2 linked regions of the Oreochromis niloticus genome follow. Each later gene encodes a partner of the first gene's protein in a complex. Links are inferred from orthologs where the notes say so. Each region holds a gene or a part of one and is shown in the gene's direction. Other genes may lie near its edges. The genes, in order: rps6ka3b and bmf1.

Region 1 (8,505 bases):
GTTACGGACCAAAAATCTTTGGTTTGGTCTGCTTCTTTAGTTTTTGTTTGTTTTGGTGTAGAAATGCGACCTGCATCGCCTGGAGGAGGGGCCCCCGGTGAAGGCGGAGCTGACCAGGGAGCAGGGCCTGCAGTATTACCGCACCATGCAGACGGTGAGGCGCATGGAGCTCAAAGCTGACCAGCTCTACAAGCAGAAGATCATCCGAGGCTTCTGTCACCTATACGACGGACAGGTATCAGCGCCTGCAGGCCAGGAACAGAATTCATTTATATTGCATTCCAAATCTCAGTGCATGGAGTAATGCAAGAACATTCAGAGAAAACCAAAATGAACATCAGTTTGAGTGTGGTGAAATGCAGAACGTGTGGTTTCTCCTGCAGGAAGCGTGTGCTGCAGGCATCGAGGCCGCCATCAACCCCTCGGACCACCTGATCACTGCGTACCGCGCCCACGGGTACACCTACACCCGCGGTGTCTCTGTTAAAGAGATCCTGGCCGAGCTCACAGGTGAGAGCGAGAGGAAGGTATTGCAGTCTGAACATGTGCACACCTGTAGTTGATCTTAGTCTCATCTTCGCTTTTATTTGTCCTCCTCAGGTCGTAGAGGGGGCGTGGCTAAAGGGAAAGGGGGCTCAATGCACATGTACGCTCCACATTTCTATGGCGGCAATGGCATCGTGGGCGCACAAGTAAGCACGTTTAAAAAGCCTCCCATACCTCTCACACCTGCAGGTCTCTATAGTTAAACACTCTCATTATGGTTTCAGTAACTCACCTGTGAACTGTGCAGGTACCTTTGGGAGCAGGCATCGCTCTCGCCTGCCAGTACCAAGGCAACAACCAGGTGTGCGTTACGCTCTATGGAGACGGAGCAGCCAATCAGGTAAGAGTTAAAAATGATTTAAATGACTCTATTAATATCCACCAATGCTGCTAAAAGGCTTTTAACACGCACTCTTACACTGTCATATCAGTTAGGTTTAAGATCTTTATTCTTATTTCCTTGGCTTCACGAGGTGACGCCACCACTTATTCTCATTCTGTTTCACCCCTGTTCTCCAAACCGGACCCTCTGAGCCACAGATGGAGGTTTTGTTTTTCCTCCGTCTGAAAACTGAGGCTGATTATGTGCGCTCCAAACTTTAGTGCCAGAACTGTGGAACAGCTTTCCTCCCTTGGCAGTTTAAAATGTATCTGGCATTTGGATGGACAGGCGTGCGTTTGTGTTCTGCGTTGTTTACGTGGTTCAGCTGTGTGCTTTTTAATACCTCTGTAAAGAACTTTACACTGGTTCTCGTCATTTGACCTCGACTCCTCTGTGATCCAATCAGGGCCAGCTCTTTGAGTCTTACAACATGGCCGCTCTATGGAAGCTGCCGTGCATCTTCATCTGCGAGAACAACAAGTACGGCATGGGGACATCGGTGGAGAGAGCTGCAGCCAGCACAGACTACTACAAGAGGGGAGACTTCATACCTGGACTCAGAGTGAGACATGAACACATTAAAGCTGCACGGCGGGGTTAAACATGGCGGGTAAACGTGCCGGTCCTGGGCAGCGGCGGCAGTGTGTCTGATGACTGTACACTGCCGCTGGCCCGTTTGGACCCAGACTATAACAGGAAGAGGCTGAGAGTCTGTCCTGGCAGTTGCAGGTGTGAGCATGCATACAGCTGCCTGATGCTCATGTATGATACTGCGCACAAACACTGGAATGTTCCAGGTGTCGCTGCAGGGGTCGCGTCTCTGTACGTAGAGGTGTGCCAATGGTCAGGTTTCTCTCTGCTCTCCTGCAGGTGGATGGGATGGATGTCCTGTGCGTCAGAGAGGCCACACAGTTTGCTGCAGATCACTGCAGAGCTGGAAAGGTGAGGGTTTGTTTTTTGTTTTGTTTTTTTATTTATACATTTTTAATATCTAATCTGTGCTGCACTCTGTTATTCATATATGTAAAAGTCCATGGAGACCCACAGCCTTTAATTTTGAAGGGTTCTCGTGGTGGAGAGTTTCCTGTAGGATCTCTAAAAGGCTCTAATCTTTCAGAGCATCGATGTGAAGCAGCACTTTGTGTTTCAGGGTCCCATCATAATGGAGCTGCAGACCTACCGTTACCATGGACACAGCATGAGTGACCCAGGTGTCAGGTGAGTTACCTTTCCCAGTCTGGATTTACCTGACCCTGGGAGAGTTGTGATTTTTCTCAGTAATTTGGTTTGACCTCCTGCAGCTACCGTACCCGCGAGGAGATTCAGGAGGTCCGTAGTAAGAGCGACCCCATCTCCATGCTGAAGGAGCGCATGCTCAGCCACAACATGGCGTCTGTAGAGGAGTTCAAGGTGAGCGTGCAGACAGCAGGGATACATTCACAGCTTCAAACCTTTTTTTATATAAAGGTTGGCAGCTGCAGGGATTACAGCACCTGATTTCTCTCCCATCAGGAAATCGACATAGAGATCCGTAAGCAGGTGGAGGAGGCGACTCAGTTCGCCACCTCGGACCCGGAGCCGCCGCTGGAAGAGTTATGCAACCACATCTTCTCCAAGAACCCGCCGCTGGAGGTGCGCGGGACAAGCCCCTGGTCCAAGCTCAAGTCTGTCAGCTAGACTCGGACCACACACTCCAACCATTATCCCTCACACATTCAGCACCTTCCCTCTCGACTTTAGGTCTCAGCACCTTCACAGGACTCTGAGGTTTTTTACCTGAAACCTGCCAGTGTTATTTATTTATAGTTTACTGTATAACTGAGATGTTATTCGTGGTGGAGACAGAGGTGTTGGATAGGATTAACATGCTGCACTGTAAACGCACAAATCCCAACATCTGACATGGAAACGTGTCTGTTAGAAACCCTCTCCATGTTTATCCTGCTTTTTAAACTCTTAGGAGACTTTTAAATGTTGCAAACTTGTGTAGGTATTCCCTCAGTAGTGTGACTTTAAAACCGGCGAAATACAAATGTGATGGATTTTTCTGGTAGTAAATGTGTTTTAAATGAGGAGTCGCAGCCTGAGCTTCAGAGCAGTCCCTCATCTGAAGCAGCTTCAGTGTCCAGGATAAGGACACAATATTAATGTATGTAATGATAAAATGGCTCTAAAAATGTTTATAACCTGAAGATGAAAACAAGACTTTAGATGGTCTCTAAATGCTTTAGAGGCTCTCCCTATCTGGACACTGAGGTCTGCAGGATCTTTTAGGAATGGTTGTTGTTGGTTGTGTTTTTGTTTTGTTTTTTTTTTTTTGTCTCCATAGATCTGGTTTTTCCAACCAAACGGTGAAATGACCTTTTTCTGCCCCTTTTCAAAGATGAGTAAATAAAATATAATCGAGCTGCTCGACTCGACTGCTGACGAGACAAACATCCGGACTTGTTTGGGGAAACTGAAGCTGGCAACTGGATGCACTACATTTGAGACTTTCTGGGCACTTTATGAGTTTAAAGGAGTCTGTTATAAAATCTTTCCTGTGTTCTTTAAAGTTTACTGTATCTGAGCCTGTACAGATATAAAGCTTTCTTATTTACCTGTCTGAATGGTGGAAACTGAAGGTTGTGAAATAAAACAACTTTAAAGAAAAGTGGAAACGTGATTGGTGTGTTTGAATCATATTTTATTTGCTCAGCTGTCAAACATAAAATGTGGTTACAAAGTAATGCTTCAAATATGACTCAATAGTTGATCAAACTAAAGGAAATCAGTGAGCTGTGTTCAGTTGTTCCATTCTCAACCACTAGATGTCACTATCAGGCTGATAAACTGCTCAAAACTAAAAATCAATTTATTTTTTTCACTTTAATTAGAGTAAAAATCTCCACTGGCTTCGGCCTGGTTTATTGTCAGCTTCATAATATAAAAAGGGACATGTCTGGACTTTTATCCCTTCTATTTTCGCTCTATTAAAGCTTTATGAACGAAAGTCATGCCCGGCTCGGACAAAAATTAAATGCTGTAAATTTAAACCAGTGAAAAGGTGTCACAGAAAAAACTGACAAAAGTATTCAAAAGTGGATTTTGTAACGACGCACAGCTTTAAGGAAGCGATGCGGTGAATCCAGGAGCACGTTCATGAGGTTTTTTGTGTTGATGTTTGTTTTTGGTTATTGTGTAGTTTTTGTCGTTTTGTGTACTTCAAAGTCGTTTTCCTTTCTGTGCTCGTGTTTCCCGTTTTTGTGAGCATTTCATATATTATATGTACATATTGAGTGGTTTATGGTCACTGCATATTTTTTGGTCAGTTTTTGATAATGTGTTGATTTGTATTTTTTTCTGGTAATTTGGCATTTCATGGGTACACACTTATGTTGTCCTCGAGCTTTTTTTGGTGGTTTATTTATTTCGTGGTTCACTACAGTATATGTGGAATAACTGTTGGCTGTTTGTGGACATTTAGCAGGTTTTTGTGGTCACAGTATTATTTCTGTGGGTGATTTTGTGCAGATTTTGTATATTTTTATGGTAATTTGTTTCATGCCTGGGTCATTTGTGACTGTTTTGCACATTTTGTAGTCATTTTGCGGTTGTTGGTGTATCACTTTGAATGTGTTTACTGATTTTGCATATTTGACATTTGTTGTTATTTAGAGTAGTTTTGTGGTTTATTTTTACATCTTTTGGTGGAATTTGCCATGTTATTGCTGGATTGTCCATTTTGCAGATTTTTGTATTTGTATTTTGTGTACTTTGTGATGGGTTTTTATGTGGTTAGGTGGCTTATTTTGGATAGTTTGTGGTCATTTTGAGTATCTTTGAGATACTCTTTTGCATTTTGTGTTACTTTTTATGTTTTGTGGTCATTTGGGTCGTTTAAGGTCGTTTTACATACTTTCTGTGATTGTGTGGGGCAGTTTGGCGCCACCCTGTTAGGCTTTATCGGTAAAAATAATCATTAAAAAAACAACACCGCCTTAGTGATGAATTGCAGACTGTTTATTCATAAGTTCAGATACGTGCTCGTTCACTCTTTTATTACCTAAGTGAGAATGCCGCCTGTCGTCGTGACGTAGTTGTGACGCAGCGCTCTGACGGACAGGTAAGCCGACACCGGCCGCCATATTGGGAAAGAACGGAAGTGAGAGAGGGAGAGGTGGAGGTAGAGAGAGAGAGAGAGAGAGACGGAGATAAGTCAATCAGTTTCCGAAAAAGGGCGTCCTCCTCCTCCTCTTCGTGTCTCCGGAGGAAGGGGCGGTCTCAGCGCCGCGGCAGATCCGGAATTAGCCCTTGTTCGCTCGGCTCCGTTCGGTCGGTTGGTCGGTCGGTCGGTTCGGTTCCTGCCGACGCTGAAAGTGGACTACTACCTTCAAACATTTTTTTTTAAGAATAAGAGCGAGGAGAGAAAGCGTCCGGAGCGAGGGAGGTACGAGCAGCAGAAAAGCGGAATAACAGAAGAAGAAGAATAAAGAAAAGTAGGGGCAGAAGAAGAAGAAGATGCCTCTGGCTCAGCTGGCGGATCCCTGGCAGAAGATGCCGCTGGGGAGGACGGCTGGAGAGGTGAGCACACTTTGGTTTGTCCTGCTGTCACACTGACTGACAGCTGAATGAGGGCTGCAGTCACAGCAGCAGCTTTCAGGGGGTAAAAAACACAAAAACACGGCACAGGATGCAGTCTGATGCTACAAAAGCGCCTTCTCTGTCAGGCAGAGGCAGCTGCTCCTAAACACAGCACAAACTACCGTAAGATCACTCTGCAGGTAAATCTGTGCTTCAGGAAGCGCTGGACATGTGCTAGCAATGACAGAGTCACGATGAAGTGCTCAAACAGTAAGCTGACAGTGTCATAAAGGACATTATACATTGCATTTATATTGACAGCAGCTGCTAAGTGACTGCAGGGATATTACTATGACCCTAAATTGAACTGTAAACACCGTAAACTCTGGGAACATCTGTTTATTTCCCTCTGAAGACACAAAGATGAAGTAATTTTCTATGCAGAAATTTTACACCAGTTCAGGAGGGCGCAGAAGTACACCAAAGTGTCATGTAAGCTCCCAAATAAGCACTCAAATCTTTGCAGGAATGTCCTGGATATGATCCAGTGTTAAATCATGTGGTTTAAAATGTCATAAAGTGCAAAAATATGAAGGGACCTTTCAGGATAATTCGATTTTTTTAGTTAAAGTCACTCTTCTTAGCAGCTAAACTACAACACAGGCATCATTTTTACCCTAGAAAGCTTCAGCAGGACTAAATTAGCTGCACTAAAACAACATAAAGTATCAAGTGATGACCCGAAGGCACAAATATGTAATAATACTTTATGCATGAGTATTACAGTGGTACTACAGGGCACAGAAAAACTCCAAAGTACCACATTGTCGGTATAAGCTGCCAACGTAGTGTTGCAGTCTCTGTAGGACTGCCATGGACATGTTTCTGGTGTTAAATCGAGAGGTTTTAAATATCATAAAGGACAAAAATGTGAAAATGAGATTGCATTATGGTTGACAGCACTGGTGACTAAAGGGGCATCAATTTGTCCCTGAAATTTGGTCGAAAACATTAGAAAGCTCCAAAAAGATGAAGTTAGCTGCATTAAAACACGACGTAGTTTTAACGTTCGTGTGTTTACTCTAAACACCCGAACGTGGTCCACACCCTCCAGACATGTTACATGTGTGCAAAAGGAAACCCTGAGCATGTGCTACAATATTTTTGGAATGACTTAAACAATAAAAGAAAAAAAGTCTGTCATGGATGCCTGTCAGTGTCAGTAAACAGAGTCTGAAAGTGTCGTAAGGGACAAATATATGAAGTCTGTATTAGCACTGCTGAGTGACTACAGGGACACTATTATGACCCTAAATGGGATTTTAAATACCATAAAACTCTAAAAGGAAATCAGTTCATGTAACTCTGAAGACACAAACACGAAGTAATATTCTGTGCAGAAATATTACACCAGTACAGTGTACAGTGGGCACAGAAGAACAATAAAACTGGTGTTTAATTGAGAGGTTTACAGCACATTGTGCACAGCAGATTGTATTATTACACAAACTATTTTAAATTAGATTTAAAGCAGCATAGAGCTCCGACGGGGACTATATTAGTTGCACTGAATCACATCATGAAGCAGTTTAGGGACAGAGTTGTTACATTTGGGTTTTATATGTTAAAGTCTGTTTAGAAATAACAGATTCATGTTTAAATGCTAAAATAAGAGAATGGAATGACGAAGTGTGAAAATGTTGCAAAGTAGGTTGTATTAGGATCGAGAGCAGCAGCTAAAGCTGCTATAGAGGCATTATTTTGACCTTAAGTTAGACTAAAAACACCACGAACCTCAAACAGGACTAAATTAGTTTTACTGAAACACAACAGAAAGTAGCATAAGATCATTCTGAAGACACAAAGATGAAGTTTTCTATGCAGATATATTACATTAGTACTACCAGGCAGAGAAAGTGTCACTATAAGCTGCCATAGTAGTGTTAAAATCTCTCTGGAAATGCCCTGACCATAATATAAAAATGTCAGAAAGTACAAAACTACTTTGGGACTATTACATTTTTTACCATTTAAGCAGATGCAGACTCACCGAATATTATAATACTGGCAGGCTCTATAAATGCTCTACAAATTGATAGAAAACAAACTGTAGAAGAAGACATAAAATGATCTGAAGAGCCCCGGCTTTTCTCTCTGGCCTGACCCTGAAGCTCATTTAATCAATTCATCGACTCTGAGTGTCACAAACTCACTAAATCACCTTAAAGTCTCAGTTAGATCACCGCTGACAGCAGCACCCCCCCCCCCCCCCCCCCCCCCCCCTTATTTCCTTATTTTAACACACCACGCCAAGTCTCCTGAGATCAGTCTGTAGACACGCAAGGCTTTACTTTCAAATACTAAAGCTGTGTTACAGCTCCTGCTTATTGCCTTATCTACTAGTCCAGCGTCAGAATATGCAGCCGTAGAGGTGCAGTAGTTAATGTCATGTTTGAGCACTAAACCAGCAGGTTAAAGGCTATTATTAATTACAGCAGCAGCCAAATCTTAAGCTCCTGTAAGGACTTTACTTTGACCAGAAAATAGATTAAAAACCCAAGAAGACTGTGTAATATTGTACAATATAGAAGTACTGCTCCAAATATTTAATTCATGTTATATGAATCTCTCAGTAAACTGCGGGGTGCAGTTAAGGATCCTTAAAAGCACCGAAACACATGAAACAATGTGTGATTATAAACCACACAGATTTAATAAAAAACTCTGCAGGAGTAGTTAGAGGAGATTAAAAAACCCAATAATGTTGCTACAGTAGTGTCGTAGCTGTGTTAGCGTGAGATTGAAGATGTTTTTAGGCACAAACGTGAGACGGTAAAATCACTATTTGGTCCCACAAACGCCATAAAAGAGCTTTTGGCACCGCATTGGTTCAATGGTGTCAACAGGAACATTACAGTGACTCTAAATCGGATTTAAAACGTACATAAAAATCCAATAACATTCAGTATTGGCATCAAGTTTTCCTCTAATACAAATAACATAAAGGGGCTATT
Region 2 (8,756 bases), on another chromosome or scaffold:
AAGACATATGTATGACATATTATATGAAGTTTGTATCTATCATTGAACATACATACACACAGTATACATATTTTACTATTATTATTATTATTATTATTATTATTTGGACATTACATTTTAAAATAGCCAGCAGCAAGAAAACTACTTGTTGGCCTGTTTTGAGGAAATTCATATTGAGGTTTGAGTAAATATCAAGGAAATAAATGTAAAACAGAGTAAATCCAAGTCATGAATGATGTGTGTATGTGTGTGTGCCTAATATTTCAGCTCCAGATGCTGTCTAATTCTTTGATCTTGATCGTGTTGTCCAGTTAAAATCTTTAGAGGAAAATCTGGAGCATACAAGTCATATTAAACAAACATGAAGGACTACAGGATGAGATTGCTGGGTGTCAAGGAGACAAGCCCTCTTTTGTTTTCAGGTCACCGCTGCCATTGGGTCATGGTCCTGTGCAAGTCTCATCTAACTGGCTTGCAGTCAGGATGTGGTTGCCATGGCACATGTCCAGTTGAAGCAAATGAAATCCATCCTTCTTAGTTTCCAGGCAGGATTCACATGCTGAGAATGTTTTGGGAGACACTCTGTGTGTGAGTGTGTGTGTTTGTGATAAATTGCGTGTGCACATTCATATAGAGAATGAGATATCAAGAGGGAGAATGGGCTTTTGAGGTTACAGAGGAAGTAGGGCATGTGATTGTGCAGCCACGTGCATGCTCGTGCGAGAAGGAGTACTACTGTAAGTGTGTGCGGGTGTGCACGCGTCGCTCTTCAGAGACAATTTTCTGATGTAACATGAACCGATGGCTGCCTTCTCTCTCCCAGGCATCTCGGGAGTTTGTGGGAACTTATTTTTGAATGCTTGTTCCACCAACCAAACAGGAGTTAATGACTATCACACCGGAGAAAGAGACAATAGAGGCCGAGAGCTGTAGGTGAGCACATCGCCTCAGAGCCTTAATCCACATACTGATAGACACGACTCAATTAAGTCAACAGGGTCTCCAATTTAAAAAGAATGTTTCTAGATGATGGCAAGAGTTGCAGTAAATACATCACTGCGAGTCACTATTTGTGCTTTAGATGCCCGTGTCTTTGTCCCACTGATGTTGGCCTATGGCTTCAATGATTGCTGCACTTCTACACTGCACACTAATGTATGTTAATGAATGACTTGGCTTTGTTTTCCAGTGATATTTTAATGTCATCAATACTATGTACTTAGGTTTTTCATTAATAATTAACGGCAGATTCTTTCAAACACTAAACCATTTAAATGCAAGGTTATCTAATATACATGCCTATCTGTTTCTTTTCCCAGCTGACATGAGAATGTATTGTAGCGTTAGCTTTCATACAGCGTGTACAACAATGACCTGTACTTAAAGGGATTCTATAGTAATTACAGGTGTTTTAAGTGTGAGTGTGTGTGTGTGTGTGTGTGTGTGGGGGGGGGGGGGGGGGGGGGGGGGGGGTCGTCTTTGTTTGGCAAGACCACAAAAGGAAGCAGCAAATAATGCTCATCTTTGAGCCTTTTGTTGCCACTCATGCAAGAGATGATCGAGTTTCCAATATCACTGTGCATGAGGAAACCAATCCCCTTTTCATGCATACCCACCCCTTCGAAGAAACTGCAGGTGGGACAAAGGCCAACCTAGCAGTCTATCCAATTAACGCATAACAGAGAAGGCAGGGACCCGTGACTTCTCACACAGCTCAGCGGTGGGACATGATCACAGCTGAATGACAGTGAGAGGGAGAAAGAGGAGTTGGGGTGGGGTGTGTTACGTGTGAGAGAATGCAGAGGGTCGGCCCCAGCTCCAGCTGTCCCAGGGTTCATTGATCAGTGATTGAAGACAGCTCTGCTGACAAGATTACCAGCATCTGCCCTGCACTTGATACCAACATGCCTACTGGAGACAAATTAGCATAGACCTGGATACAGTATACGGATAATAGTATATAACAAATTCAGGTGTTTTCAGTCCCATCTGCCACGGATGTGTAATATCAAGCACTTAGCCATGCAGTCTGCCTTTAATAACATTTGTGAAAGTATGGGTTGTTCACTGAATTTGAATGTTAGGACGTCACCATCGCAACAAGTGGGTTCCAGGATCAACTCTAAGTCTTTATAGAGCCTATACATTGCCTGACATCATTGTCAGGTATTGTGAGCATGGTGTATTATGTGTTAATTACTGTGTAATTGTGCCCCAGGGGTTTATATGCAATGCTGTCCAATAGAAACCTGGGTCCTTGCTCTTTGTTGCTTTCAGTTTTATTCAGGGACAAACATATTTGTTGCCTCCAGTTCTTTGAACATTCCCTCGCATCCATTCCGATAGCTTCAGCCTCGTAAGTTAAACATTTTTATGATGTACTTGGATTTCCAATTACTCTGTAATTTGTGCTTTTTCTGAGATGACCCGATTTAAAACCTCTGATAATGTGACAGTTTCAAGAGCTATCATATTGTCCCAGTTAAAGCATCTGTGAAAAAGCCTCTGATTGTTGTTTTTGTGATAAAAAAAAAAAAGCTTGAGTATTCTCTGCAGGTGCCTAATTAAACTGATCAAGATGCAGTCCTCTTCCAGCTGAATCTAGGTCATTTCTACCGACACTGAACAAACACAGGCATAAAAACTTCTGAAATTATAGTCTGTACATGTAACCTGTACTTTTGTTCAAACACTGTGGCGATCAGAAGTGGAAAACATAATAAATTATACTTGGGCAAATGTTGACATGAAGCCCACCTTTTGTGGATTTATAGACCCACAATATAGTGCAGAATTCAAAGTGTCACATTAACATAGAGGTACATAGACCACAGTTTTAAAGAATATACTTATCAGCAGCATCAACAAAAGCACAAATGACACAGTTTAGATGTCTTCAGCTGCGAGTGTGGTACACAGATCTCTCATAAAGCCTTTCATAGATGTTGACTTCTCCCTTACATAGTTATACAGTTTCACATCTATTACATATTGAAATCATTCTAAAAATGACTTCTTTACTGCAGAGTCTATGACAGGTCAGAGTGACCAGCAGAAATGAATATAATCCAGTGTCTGACAAAATATTTAACTAAAGTTTAGCTTGATATATATTTTACTTTTAGCAAAAGTCTGGTTTCTCTACTAAAGTCTACTGCTCTCTAAGGTACAGGATGTGACCTCCATTTTCAAGTAACTACTGAAACATAGATATCATACTATAGTGACTTAATGCTGTTCAGTGGTCATGATATTGATTAAGGCGGCTGTTGCTGGCATTAACATTAATGTTGTGCAGGTGTGTCTCATGCTGGAAAATTATTGTGCCAATAAGAAACTGAGTCTGTGAATGTGAATACACCTACAGTACTGTGCAAAAGTTTTCAACCAAACCTCATTTCTTTATATTTTGCTTCTAATGAGCCAATAATTCTTGTAACTTTAAAAGTGCTCTTGAGCAACAGTTCTCCAGACTTTCTGAAGCCCTTTCTAAGTTTTTCTTTGGATATTGACGCAATCATTATAATAGTTCAGAACTTGGACCTGACCATTTTCACACAAATTTGGTATGCAGTGTGTCCTTAAAGCTGTCCGTGTCCAGGAAATTGGACGTGTGGTGGACAAAAGAAGAAGCGCTAGGCGCAAAAGAACTATGTGTGCGCTGCCGCTTTCCATGCAGCCGGCCCCCTGAACTATGTTTTTCCCCTGCTGTGGACTCTGGGGTTTTTTTCTTTTGCTCCAAGCCCTCCATCCTGGACCCCCCTCCACCCGCTCGGGTCTGGTGGTCTGTTGTTTTTGGGGCTGTCTGGAGCCAGCCCTTAAGAAAGGGTACTGTCATGGTCCTGAGTCAGTGACCCAGTAATTTGTGTACAGTGTCTGAAAGTCAAGTACTTAAGAAAAAGGGGGGAAATCTAGCAAAGACCTGACACAGGACCTGAGAGATGCATCTGGACCTTAAATTAATTCATCTACTGTTTGCTAAAGCGTCATCGGAAATGGTTTCAGTGGAGTGGTGGCTGTAAAGAAGCCATTCTTAAGGATGGGAAATGGGGAGGTGTCCCAAATTACACAAGAACTGGACTGAAAATCAGAGATTACAGGTTCTATGAAGTGAAAATCCAAATGTAAAATTTGGGATTTAAATCCTTGTCAATAATGTACAGACGAGTTCAGGAGGTTCAACAGTGAATATCTACAGCTGTCTGTAAAACACAGTGGAGGCTCTGTCATGTTTTAAAGCCCCACTTCAGTCAATGATGTTGAATATCGCTGCCATCAGATTTCGAATCTGGCTTCATTTTTCCGATTCCAAACACAATCTGAAAAAGGATCGTGCAGGAAATGTAAACCTTGGATAGAAAAACACATCAGTCATGGCTTTGCTGCTCCTCACAGCCTGAACCTCAACATCAGTGAACCAGTGTGGCATCATCTTGACAGAGAACAGAACAACAGGCAGACAGCATCCAAAGAAGAGCTCCGAATGTTCTTCAAGAAGCCTGGAGAACTATTCCTGTAGCCTACTTTACATAAAGATTACATAAAGATTACCTAAGAGAGTTCAGGCTGCGGTGAAGAAAAAAGATGGTTACACCAAATATTGACTGTCAAGCTTATTAGGATTATAGAACCTCTGTTCTATAATCCTAATAAGCTGTGCTTCCACACATGTGTTTGCGTTTCAGTAGATCACTCTACCTATTTCTCATTTTCCTTGCAAAATATAAACAAATGAAAGACATTTGCACAGTACTTACCATAGTGAAAAACACGGGATACAGCATACTGTGAAATATGCTTCGAGTTGTAATCAACTTTAATTGTGGGCTGAATTATTTCAGCAAATTCTCAAATGTCAGATAAATATATTAATATATAGCTGTCAGGGCAAAGAACGGCTGAAAAAAACCGCAAGATGACAGCCCTATCTGACCAGAGTAGCCAGATGATCAACAGTAGTAGCGAGAAAGCGGTCTCGTGCTCTGGGGAATTTCCCCTTCCACGTGTCTGATTACACGACTGAGAAGGCGGGATAACAACAAAGTCGGCTATTGGTTGCAGCACCCATATGTAGCCGGCTCTTAAAGAGATATGCTCTATCTTCGCTTGGGAGCAGTGCAAGTGTGCCGGAGGGAAAGCAAGCCTCTTTAAAGAGGGTTTGTTTACTAATTTTTCGCGCCACGCCCCGGTGGTGGAGTCAGCTGACATGCCTGCAAAGAAATAGGGTGCTAGCGCTTTTCCTCGCAGAATGGAAGTAGTCGTGGAGGCGATAAGGACTAAAGTCGTTTGACTCAGCAGGATTCTGAACTCTTAGGCTTTTTTTCTTTTGTTTTCTTTTTGTTTTCCGGTTATAGGACAGTCGTTACAACGAAGCCGATCTGTGTGGTAAGTTCACGGGAAACATCATCACTTTTAAACGCTGTTAAATGTCCTCGTCCAGGGCGCACTCTGTCCACCGGAGCGAGCTGATTACATCAGGTAACATGCGCGTCCTTAAAAATAAGAACCGACAGCGCAACGTGCCGCTGCCTTCCATTCGCGTCTGCATTCATTCGCCCTACATTACTGCACCTAACCACCGGGCTTGTCTGCTCATAAACGCGGTTAAATGTACTGCCTGTCATTCACCCAGCGCAGATTTGAATTACACCGGCTTTCCCGGTTCGCTCAGCCCGGCTGGGTGAATGGACTTCAGACCGCGGGGCGCCGAGTGCGTCCCCGGGTGCTCTGTTTAAACGCAGTAACGACTGTTTCCTTCCTATAATGAAATGAATCAGCGTATTACACATATGCCCACTCTTGCCTTTATTTCAAGCCACTACAGCTGTGTTTTTGCATGTCTTTTTCGGTCAAATTTCGGTTTAAAACTCGCTCTGCTTTATTTCTATAAATGTGTGGTGAGTGGCCGAGCTGTGAGCGTGAGAAGGCTTCATTTCTCGGTGTGAGTAATGTTACATAAAGCCGATGCGGCGTGGTGGAAGGCTCTTCAAGCCGTTGGATTGAAACTGTGTCAATAACAGAGCTCCTTCGCCACCACCTCCACCGCCACATCTCTCCCTCCTTCCCCTTTGTTAATTTGTCTGCAGCAGGGGGAGCTACTGTCTGACACAAACATGCAGCTCACTGCCTGGTCAGTAGAGCAGTACAGACAGCAAGCCTGTGTCTCTGGAAGTTGAACCTAAGGTTTTCGCTCTCTCTCTCTCTCTCTCTCTCTCTCTCTCTCTCTCACACGCACATGCCCATGTTCTTTCTGTGTGTTTGTCAAAACAAAGCATTAAGTGGCTTTACACACAGGGTTTATTGTGAACGCACACAGTATATCGTGAGGTCTGAGCATGCTAGAGCCAGGCCAATCTGCTTATGCTGGGTGAAGAAATGAAAACTCCTTTCTCGGGGAGCTTGGCAGGCTGACAGACCAGGGAAGGGAGAGTGGCTTAGGATTATCCTCAAAGACTGTCATTACCCTTTTGCTGTGGATCCTAATTTGGAAGTGTGGTAGTAGTCTAACCCCATAATACAACTGCAGTGGTGACTTTGAGTTTTGCCAGTGAGGCCAACTTGAATTTCACCCATATTTTGATGACTGTTTGACCCACTGTATTATTCAGGGCTGAGCGCAGTCTAGTATTGACTCTGGAGAGTTTGCCAAGTGCTCCTTGAGATTCTTGCCACACTGCGGTGAGATGGGTATGATGAATCATAATGAGGCATTTTATTATTGTCATCAAATATCTGCTCTAATATCTATACAACTTTCATATTTATATACATACGGTGCAGCGATACTGTTAAAATACCAACTATTAGCGAAGTTAGTAATTATGGGACTGTTATTGAAACCCCCACCCATGTGCTTAGCAGAGACAAAAGATAATCTACCTCTTATTTAATCTAGGCAGCAAAGTCCTTTAAATGTATCTGTGGCTCAACTGACTTGCCTAACCACAGTGAATTGTGTGGTTTCATCACTGAGTTGAGCAGAGCCATTTGTCTAAATAAGCACTGAGATCTTTGCCACAAATTAAGGCAGACCGTTTGCTCATTTTCTCTTCCCCAACTTATCCACTGTGGTTTTATTGATTTGAGGGCACTCATTATAGGCCAGACAGGTTGTCTATAATGATAATGAATGCTTTGGAGGAAGGAACGAATAATGAATGTGTCTGAGATCATCTCATCAGCTCTTAGTGCGGATTTCTCCAAGGTTGGATTCATTAGCGAAGGGAACTCAGGACGGCGTGCCCGCTGGAAGACGAACTACACGTGTTCGGCTTTAACCTTTTCTTTGTTCTTTTCCTGTCACGTTACTTTTAAGGCTGCTCGTCTCAAAGCGCACCCCGTATGGACGATGAGGAGGACGATGTGTTTGAGCCAAAAGCCAACTGTTGGCGCACCACATTCAGGGAGATAAAGTGTGAACATCGAGGCACACAGACACCCGGTCCTGCCCTGGTACCAAACAACGGCATGCTGCCCTGTGGAGTCGCAGAGGAGCCCAGACCACTCTTCTACGGTGAGGCTGACAACATACCATATTTCAAAAGAGGGGAGGAAAAGGGAACACTGCCTTGTGCGTGATAACCGGTGTTATAAAACCGACGCACGAGAGCACAGTGCGAGACTCACCGTGAGGGATGGTTAACAGCGTTACTGCGCTGATCTCACCCCTGGCGCCTGATAGTCGTCATCACATTCACTTTTATGGTCTGTATGCAGTGTACCCAGCTGCTTTGCTATTCAAAAGGCGCCAGACTGGCATTGTGACTGAAAGGATATGACAGAAGTGCTCACCTGTGCAGCAACTCTTTGGAGAGTTGATTATCAGTGACACCAATTACTCTGGTGCCATAAACAAGCAATCATTCCAGAGGAGCTCTATAACTACTAGTCATGTGGGTTTATTTTGTGAAACTATTAAAGGTCATTTAAAAAAGACAAAGGAAACACCACAGCTGGGTAAACTGTGGTTATATAGCTGAGCAACCTGTTTGCTGAGAGGCACGTTCTGCAGTACTTAAGGAGACTGATGGATCTCCTTACCTGTGTGTATAAGAATGGCACGCCCGGCGTCATTGCTGTATTGAGATTATTTTGCTGAGCACGTGTTGTTTACAAAATAATAAGCATGAGTCCTGACACTCGACAGGTAACGCAGGTTTTCGATTGCACTTCCCGGCACGCTTCGAACTCGTCGGGGATCACAGAGCGAGGCGACAAGAAATCGCGGAGCAGCAAAACAGCATGGAGCGCCTGCCCCGGCAGCGACCTGCGGCTCGCAGCGTGGAGGCCTGCATCGGACAGAAACTCCAGCTCATAGGAGACCAGTTTCACTGGGAACGCCTGCAACTGGTGAGGAGGATGGATGCGTTCGGCTGATTGTGCAATACTGGGAGACAAACGGTGGCGCCGGATGGTAGTGAAACAAGCATGCTTTTAGTGGCTCACATTAAGTGTGGAGGGCAACCCGATTCTTTTGACAGTTTTCAAATTTGACTAAGTTGCAGATTGCTCCCTGTGCCTGATAACAGGCAAATACACCTTTATTGTTTGGGTTTTTTTGTTGTTTTTGTCAGATAATCTCTATGTGTGCTATCTGAGCCGGTAAAATTAGAGCAGTAAAGCCAGGAAGATACGCCAACGTTCTGTCAACAATATAAGAAACAAAAGACACCATAAAGTTAAATTTGCTGCCATCAAACTAGAGAGGAAACTTGTGTCCGTGTGCGAGTAAGCACCTCAGGTTAAGTGTTTATAAA

Evidence for each region.
Region 2: the proteins of rps6ka3b (region 1) and bmf1 are in contact, whole or in part, in a crystal structure (PDB 8R58), measured with the Homo sapiens proteins. The link is inferred for Oreochromis niloticus from reciprocal best matches to the Homo sapiens genes RPS6KA3 and BMF. Residues at the interface, in NP_004577.1 of Homo sapiens: Trp252, Phe259, Phe268, Leu281, Ala283, Lys284, Leu285, Gly286, Met287, Pro288, Leu299, Arg300, Phe303, Lys304, Arg305, Asn306, Asn309; in NP_001003940.1 of Homo sapiens: Glu8, Leu10, Glu11, Asp12, Asp13, Val14, Phe15, Gln16, Pro17.

What each region holds. Positions count from the first base shown.
Region 1 is NC_031974.2:5,810,896-5,819,400, reverse strand, and holds the start of rps6ka3b (ribosomal protein S6 kinase alpha-3), read left to right. Parts: upstream 1-5,047; 5' UTR 5,048-5,428; coding exon 5,429-5,491; intron 5,492-8,505. Other genes in the region: pyruvate dehydrogenase E1 component subunit alpha, mitochondrial, read left to right, coding at 62-235, 384-510, 601-692, 794-886, 1,335-1,490, 1,799-1,870, 2,079-2,146, 2,230-2,338 and 1 more. UniProt on the Homo sapiens protein: Serine/threonine-protein kinase that acts downstream of ERK (MAPK1/ERK2 and MAPK3/ERK1) signaling and mediates mitogenic and stress-induced activation of the transcription factors CREB1, ETV1/ER81 and NR4A1/NUR77, regulates translation through RPS6 and EIF4B phosphorylation, and mediates cellular proliferation, survival, and differentiation by modulating mTOR signaling and repressing pro-apoptotic function of BAD and DAPK1.
Region 2 is NC_031983.2:9,098,249-9,107,004, forward strand, and holds the start of bmf1 (BCL2 modifying factor 1), read left to right. Parts: upstream 1-5,110; 5' UTR 5,111-5,385; intron 5,386-7,315; 5' UTR 7,316-7,341; coding exon 7,342-7,513; intron 7,514-8,146; coding exon 8,147-8,349; intron 8,350-8,756. UniProt on the Homo sapiens protein: May play a role in apoptosis. Isoform 1 seems to be the main initiator.